2 linked regions of the Xenopus tropicalis genome follow. The protein of the gene in region 1 purifies or fractionates together with the protein of each later gene. This does not show direct contact. Links are inferred from orthologs where the notes say so. Each region holds a gene or a part of one and is shown in the gene's direction. Other genes may lie near its edges.

Region 1 (4,167 bases):
TTTTACCCCTAGCTTTTGTGAAACCACAACTGTGAAGGGATCCTATCTAGCTGAGGTAAAGGACAGTCTATAGACCACTACAGTTGTAGGACTTTTGGCTTCAGGGTAGGGGATAAATAGGACTCCCCTAGACCTGATGAAGAGGGCCTAAGACACCTGCCCCTTCAGGCCTCCTCGCTGGGGGGGCATTCATTCTTTCCATTTTAAAGGAGGGTCTAAATTTGCTGACCCTTGCATTCTTTTGTTTTTTTTTTGCACCTGGGTGAAAAAGCATGTTCTTCAGGCTTCAAAAAACATATGAGTGAGATTGGCAGGGAAGGTCATAGTCATAGTAAACTTAGACTTTGCTGATAAACTTGGTCTTTGCTGATATGAGGGTTGGTTACTTGGGGAGCTCACATTCCAGTTACTGCATGGGGCTCCAAATGTTTTACTTTAGATTAGTTTAGATTTTTTTTCCTTACATACGTTGCATTTTATTCTCAGGGGGACGGATGATCTTCGACAGTATCAGCTTAACCAATAAATACGTTTATGAGTACCAGAGGTCATTGTAGAGCTGTAAACTGTAAAGTTAAATAACAAATGGTTGACCTGCATAGGAAATGGAAGTATGGACAAAGAGCAGTATCGCTGACTCAGAGCAGGGAAGGCGATTTAAAAGTGTTTATATAAGGAAATATGTGCTATAATGATACTTTTCTTTCCCTTACAACACAGCCATACATGAAGAAATAACTAGGCACTATCACAATATGCTGGCGCTAGAGACAAGAAGTGCAATCGAGTCACTGTATTCATGGATTGTACGCAACACAATGCAGTGCGTCACTGTAACGTTACAAAGCTTACTGTCTCGGCAGGCTGCAGAAATCCTAACGAACTGCATTTGGTCCTGACATTTCTGCAGACATAAACGTGCAGACTATCTGCTTTGCAAAGCCATGTTTTAAGAGAGTAAATCATTTCAGGCCAATAAAGAATATAAAAAGAAAGAGTTCTGCACCGCGCCCTTTATTATACAGCAATTAATGGAAAGGATAAGGCGTGGTATATCTAAGTGTAGATTTAATGAAACATATATATGTATATTGATATCTATGTATGTACGTATCTGTGTATATACGTATCCGCATCCTAGCTAGTAGGTGTAACTGCCTCACTCTACGCGCCCCCTTCGCCCGCAGTTCCTACAGCCAATCAGCTTCCCAGTTCCTGGAACGCTCCTTATATGGTGCAGCCGGCTGGGGCGCGCAGCATAAAACCGGCGCCCTAGCCCGACAACTGCTCAGTGACCCGCCCGCACAGAAACAGGACAGTGTGTGTGTCGTACTCTCAGGCAAGTAGCGCCGAGCCTGCTATTGTTGTGCTTTTCCTCTGCTATTTCCTGCTTCTATTCGCCTATTTTTCTCTATATATTATTAGAATAAGCATGATTTGGTTCTAATTGGCTATGTTTTTCATAATGTGCTTGAAATAGTTGGTAGCTTAATGTAGCGTTATTTACTTGAAGGTAAGACTTGTTAGTAGACAAGCGTGAAGCCTGGTTCTGGAATTGTGCTAAAGTTCAGTTCCTTATATGCTTAATTAGATCTTAATTGATAAAGGACACTGGAAGTTGTAGGTTGTACATACTGGAGAGCTGGGGAACCATTTTTCTGTTACAGCAGGTTTAACTTGTAAGTTGCATTTAAAAATAGGGTTTTGTTTTTTTTTTGTATCGTTTCCTCTTCTGTAAACTGAGCCCCCAATAGCAGCGCCGCTTGGGGATGTGCGATTGGGCGGTTCCCTGCCGATGTTAGTGTGAGGCTGCACACAAAGCTACATATTGTGTATAAGTGTGTGATGCAATCTGTGTCGGAACAGCCTTTTGCTGTCTAAAATATATTGGCGGTAGTTCTCTCCCGCTTCGGTTTAGACTTTCCATATGCATGTATATCCGTAACTAGAATACAAAAGCGCAAGTTACATCTTATATATTTATTTTGTCCTTGCACTGGTAAAAACGGAGTCACACCTGCAGTATGTGATTCTGTCCTGTAGTGTTGCCTTCATGAAACATTGGGAGTGGTAGTCGGTTGGTTCGATTGCCTAATACCAGCAGTGACTTGTTTCTTTGCCACACCTTCACTATCCATGGCTGGATGGGAGGGGTGCTTGTGTAAATCTTTGCTGTTGCCTTATTTGGTAATACAGAAAATAAATCGATTTCCCTTTGTCTAAATCTGTACAGAAATGGTGCAAACCCCTGCGCCCTCTTGTGACAGACCTTATGAAATGCAAGTAATGGGCAGGAAGCGTCCTTGTGGTATATACCAGCGCTCATAATTTGGGTGGATAATTATCTCAATTTTATTTATTTTTTAAATTTCAGATTACAATGGACGACGATATTGCTGCACTGGTCGTTGACAATGGTTCTGGTATGTGCAAAGCCGGCTTTGCAGGTGATGATGCACCCCGTGCTGTTTTCCCATCCATTGTTGGTCGCCCAAGACATCAGGTATGCCCTTTTCATGCCTTTTTCATTTCATGTCTAAATAAAACCTAGAAATAAAACTAGTAAAGCACCTCTAACAAATCAGTGTGTTGTCCCAAGGAGGTAAAACATTTTTTTTTTTTTTTTATGTATTTAACTGTTAAAGGTGAAACTAATCTGGGGGCAAATAAAACTGCAATTCTGCATGGGTTATAGGTATGTTGGTAACAATATATTTGCCATTGAGTGTTTTTAAACCATACACGTAAGGATAGTTTCCAAAAAGTGTTGCATAAGATGATGCAATTTTTTTTATTTTTTTTTTTTTTTTTACTCTTTCAAATAAACACTGCAGGCAGGAATAATCACATAAATAGCTGTGCCTAGGGCACCCCCCAACTCTTGTGCCCTAGGCTTGTGTCGGTTATTCCTTTAAGCTGGTTTTGGGCACTTCTCGGCAAGGCTGAAACTAGGAGTAGGCATATTTAAAATAAACTCTTTATACTGTCCACACAAACCCTGTTTATTGACTTATGCTGTGTAAGTGCTAAAGCCAGTTACATTTTCCAACCCTGCATGAAAAGAATTTCTTTTCAGAGTGTAATGTGGTTTAATTTAAATGGAAAAATATTTTAATTAAGTGCAGGTTAAGTGTGTGTATATAGATATTTAATATGATATATATATTGTACTTTGCACACTACATTTCCATATTCTTTGCAAATTGCCTACTTCTGTTTATTTGTGAAATACACAGGGGCGTGGTTAACATAGCAAATGTTCTTGCATACTCTTGTTTCCTGTAAGCACAAGATGACAGGAAGTATTACGAAATTAGAGGGCCCTGCCCAAAAGAGCTTTTACTCTAGAATTTCCTCTTAAAGTCTGCATTATGTGAGGTCCATGAAAATCCACTTTATTCATTCCATTGTCTGGCTAGTATTGAATTAAGGCATGCTTTTCATTTACTAAATTACTTAATTTAGTCCAAATTGTCTTACGCTTTATTTTAGGGTGTCATGGTTGGAATGGGACAGAAAGATAGCTACGTAGGAGACGAAGCTCAAAGCAAAAGAGGTATTCTTACACTCAAATATCCTATTGAGCATGGCATTGTCACTAACTGGGATGATATGGAGAAGATCTGGCATCATACCTTCTACAATGAACTCAGAGTGGCCCCAGAGGAACACCCAGTGCTGCTGACAGAAGCACCCTTGAATCCCAAAGCTAACCGGGAGAAAATGACGCAGGTATGTTACCTGTTTTCTGGTGTGAGGGTTTGGGTTGTGGGTTTTGTTTTGTGTTTTTTGTTTTTTAATTATATAATTGCTATTCCTTACAGGGCTGTCCTGGCCTCAAAGTTTACTGGAATCTCAAAGGTTTTTTTTCAGTATTTGCCTGTTTTACATCAAGGGTAGAATACTAACAATGTTAGCGTTGTGTGAAAAGTGCTGAATGATGGCTTGTTTTTCAAAGTTCACTTTGCTTGTGTTTTTCCTCACATTGGCCCTGCCTAAATTTGTGTTGTGTGCAGCAAAATCAAATGCTGTTCTGAAACTACACATGCATGAGTTTTGGATGCCTTTATGCAGGTAATGTGCTAATTGCCTTTTCAACCATTACAGATCATGTTTGAGACCTTTAACACTCCAGCTATGTATGTTGCCATCCAAGCTGTGTTGTCC
Region 2 (3,653 bases), on another chromosome or scaffold:
AAGATGTAATTAATCCTTATTGGAGGTAAAACAATCCTATTGGGTTTATTCAACATTTAAATTATTTTTAGCAATCGTAAGGTAAGGAGATCCAAATTATGGTAAGATCTCTTATCTGGAAACCACAGACCCCAAGTGTTCTGGATAACAGGTCCTGAACCTGTACTTTAATTTAAAAACAATTTTTTTTTTATAATTATATATGTCCGAGGATGGCAAGGCCTTTTGTGGTTTGTAGTGAAATGTCTTAAGGCTCTCTGACCAACAAATACTGTCTTGAAAAATGCATCAGTATTTACATTTACCCATACAATCAAGGCTAAATCCTTGGAACATCACTTTATGAAAAGAAGCATTTTACTTGCGTGTCACTGTGTGCTGGTAGTAAAGTGTAACATTGGCATTGATATGCTTGTGGAAACGGATCTCCTCCTCTGTCTTTAGTATTGTTTTTCACACTCAAGTATTCTGGGCTTATTCTCCACCCCCTCACCAGCTTTGCAGTCATGCAAATTAGCCATGTGGCCAATTCCCAAGGCCAGAGTCCGCTGCCCCTCCTGTTTTATCTGCTATGGCTGTGAGGGTGGGTTGATTAGGTGTGGCAAACTCAGGAGGGGAAATCTAGAAAGGCTGTTGGTTTCCCTCCTCTCCCCCCCCCCCCCCCCCTTCCCTCATAATGTCCCCAGAGCACAGATCCTGTCATTCATTGCCTGCCAGCACTCCACACCAGACAGCCGGCTTTTGGCTGCACTTCAGATGGGTGTACAGCTGGGACCTGTTACACTTCGGCTGCTTGCCTTTTCAGATATAAATAGCTCTCACCGGCTGCCTTCACAAGCCTAATCCCAGAGGTAACAAGCAGGTTAATTATTGTGGGAACAGGTAATGTCTGATTAGTCCTCATTCCAACACCTTGACCTTAAAGCCTGATACATGGTAAAGTTCTCTAACTTGCTAAGAGACCCTACAATTACAGTGAAATTTTGCTGAGGAAGCAAGGTGTATGAACTGTCGTTTGCATGCCGTGGGTTATTGTAAATGAACCTGTGTGTGTGTTGTCACTTCAAACTGCATCCTATAGTGTTTTCCAGGAATGTCACTAAGGCTTTAAACCTGAGGGTACGGTTTAATTAGCTATATATGATTACATTATATTCAGTTTTCATCAACATGCAAACCCTCAATTTGGGTGATAGTACTCTTCTGTGGTATAATGTTACTGAAAATTTTTTTAAAACCAGTAATCTAAAAGTACAGTTTAAATCATTCATTGCTGCATATACTTATGCAGTGGTTCTGTAAGTCTCTCAAATTCTGCTTTGTTGGTTAAAGCTAACGTCAACAAGCTATTTCACATCTGGACAATTTGAAGAAGATTTCTGCCTGTTTGGCCACTTAGCTGATGGATCAGTAGACTGTCCGCTTTTTCTGGAGTAGCCAAAAGGCAGCTAATGTCAACTTATTTGTAGCCACTTCAACATAACTGTTGCTGGGGGAATATGCCTAGACTCCGCATTGGCATCAATTAACAACAAGAAATGCTAGTGGTTTTTTTTTTTTTTTTTAAATACAATGAGATAAATTAACACGAAGGATCCATTTACAATTGGCATATCTGAATCTGAGGTTTAAGCCAGTATAAGACAAAAAATAAATATATATATATATCCAAAAAAGACCAGCAACACAGAGTTATATTCCAAAAACAATCAATTGTGTATTAAAAACGCAGGAACAGCCAACATTACGTTTCGGTCCCCATCGGGACCTTTTTTTTTTACTTTTTTTCTATGAATTGCAAGCACTTTGCAGTGAAGCAATATTTGTTTTGCATATTTTCTAAAATGAATTTTATCATTTTTCTACCCCCATAGCCGGCTACACCGATGGATCAGATGGGAAAAATGCGACCCCAGCCATATGGGTCCAGTAATCCATACAGCCAGCAGCAGGGAGCTCAACAGGGACACTCTGGATACCCAGTGCAGCCTTACTCTTCTCAGAGTCCACAGAGATATCCTATGTCCATGCAAGGAAGACCACAAGGTGGCATGAGCATGCAGTATGGGCAACAGGTACAGTGATATCATATTCTTGACCGGCTTCAAGGGGCAGTTTACCTTTAATGTTTTAGTATGATATAGACTTAGACAATTTGCCATTGGTCAATTTTTTTATTTTTTTTGTCTTTAGAATTAAGCTCTTTAACAGCTCTCCGGTTTGGAATTTCATCAGCTATCTGGTTGCTAGGATCCAAATTACCCTAGCAACCAGGCCATAGCTTAAATGAGAGGCTGGATTATGAATAAGGAACCTGTATAGAAAGAAAAGTAATAAAAAGTAGCAATAACAGTAGTTATAGCCTTGAACAGTTTTTTTTGGCTGCCAGGGTCACTGACCTCCATCTGAAATGTGGCAAGAAGCAGAAAAGTAAGGTAACACATTTACAAACTATAGAAAAAAAATGTAAGGTAGCAAAAAATAGACCATTCTGTGAAATACCACTTTAAAGGACATGTCAACCCAAACAAATCTTTCGGTAAAAAGCCTCACTGCATTCTTTAAATACCTGCCACTCTTAGTCCTTAAGGGCAGTGACACACGAGGAGATTAGTCGCCACACGGAAAATTTTCATTTTCGGGTGCGATTTGGTTCCCTTGATCTCTCTGCATATATGTAGCTTTCTCAGGCCCCCTCCAAAATTCTCCTTTCCACTTGGCGTGGGGAGCATGCGCGCTTTGAGACAGCTTTCTTGAGGACATGTATTTCAAAGAGTTCTTTTTATAGTTTCATTGAAAAAATCTCCTTGGAGATGTCAGGTTGGAGGGGCGATGATGTCAGGATGGGAAAATGGCAGTCAGGTGAAACGCTTAATACTGTAATGAAGAAGGCGGCGGTGCAGGATGTAGAAGTGGAATTGGGGCGTGAAAATAGTGGTTTTGGGGGGGATAAGGCACCCTATGCTGACACGATGCAAGCTAAAATAGGGTTGATGTTTCCTTTAAGGCTCATAGGGCTTTTTTTTTTCTGGCGAAGCACTCAGAACTGCCATTGATACCTTCAAGATTCTAGTGAAAACTACTAAAAGGTTTTTGATATGAAAACACTAATGTATCTCTGTTAGTATTCAGCAGCTTCAGGTGGTTATCATTGGGTGATGTTGACAAATATATCTAATTTGCTTCCATTACTAGACACCTGAAGCACAAGTCTTGGCATGGCTTCCCAAAAATACTGTTACCACTTAAGGTCCCCATGCACGGGCAGATTGTAGCTGCCGATGTCGGTCCCTTGGACTGATTCGGCAGCTTAACTGCCTGTGTAGGGGCAGAAACGAGGGGCCTGGCTGACCGATATCTGGCCTGAAATTGGCCAGATCTCGATCGGCCAGGTTAGAAAATTCAGTCGGATCGGGGACCGCATCGGCCCCAGGGCCCAACGATCGAATTATTTATTTTTTTAACTACACGCTCCCCGATAGTGCCCACCCGTAGACCCGTAGGTGGGGATATCGGGTGCAGAGATCGCCAAGCGAGCGGATCTCTGCGTGTATGGGGACCTTAATTGTTTATAAAAGGAGTTGTACTGCAATATAAAATGTGATATATTTGATTGTACCCACTTTTCAAACCCTTTATGACATAGCCCCCAT

What was found. The genes of interacting proteins can lie anywhere in the genome.
Region 2: the proteins of actb (region 1) and arid1a purify together in Homo sapiens (affinity purification with mass spectrometry; 3 studies listed by BioGRID and IntAct, with this or other methods). This does not show direct contact. The link is inferred for Xenopus tropicalis from reciprocal best matches to the Homo sapiens genes ACTB and ARID1A.

What each region holds. Positions count from the first base shown.
Region 1 is NC_030685.2:46,572,690-46,576,856, reverse strand, and holds the start of actb (actin, cytoplasmic 1), read left to right. Parts: upstream 1-1,313; 5' UTR 1,314-1,339; intron 1,340-2,374; 5' UTR 2,375-2,380; coding exon 2,381-2,503; intron 2,504-3,492; coding exon 3,493-3,732; intron 3,733-4,107; coding exon 4,108-4,167. UniProt on the Homo sapiens protein: Actin is a highly conserved protein that polymerizes to produce filaments that form cross-linked networks in the cytoplasm of cells.
Region 2 is NC_030678.2:77,709,113-77,712,765, forward strand, and holds part of arid1a (AT-rich interactive domain-containing protein 1A), read left to right. Parts: intron 1-1,874; coding exon 1,875-2,075; intron 2,076-3,653. UniProt on the Homo sapiens protein: Involved in transcriptional activation and repression of select genes by chromatin remodeling (alteration of DNA-nucleosome topology).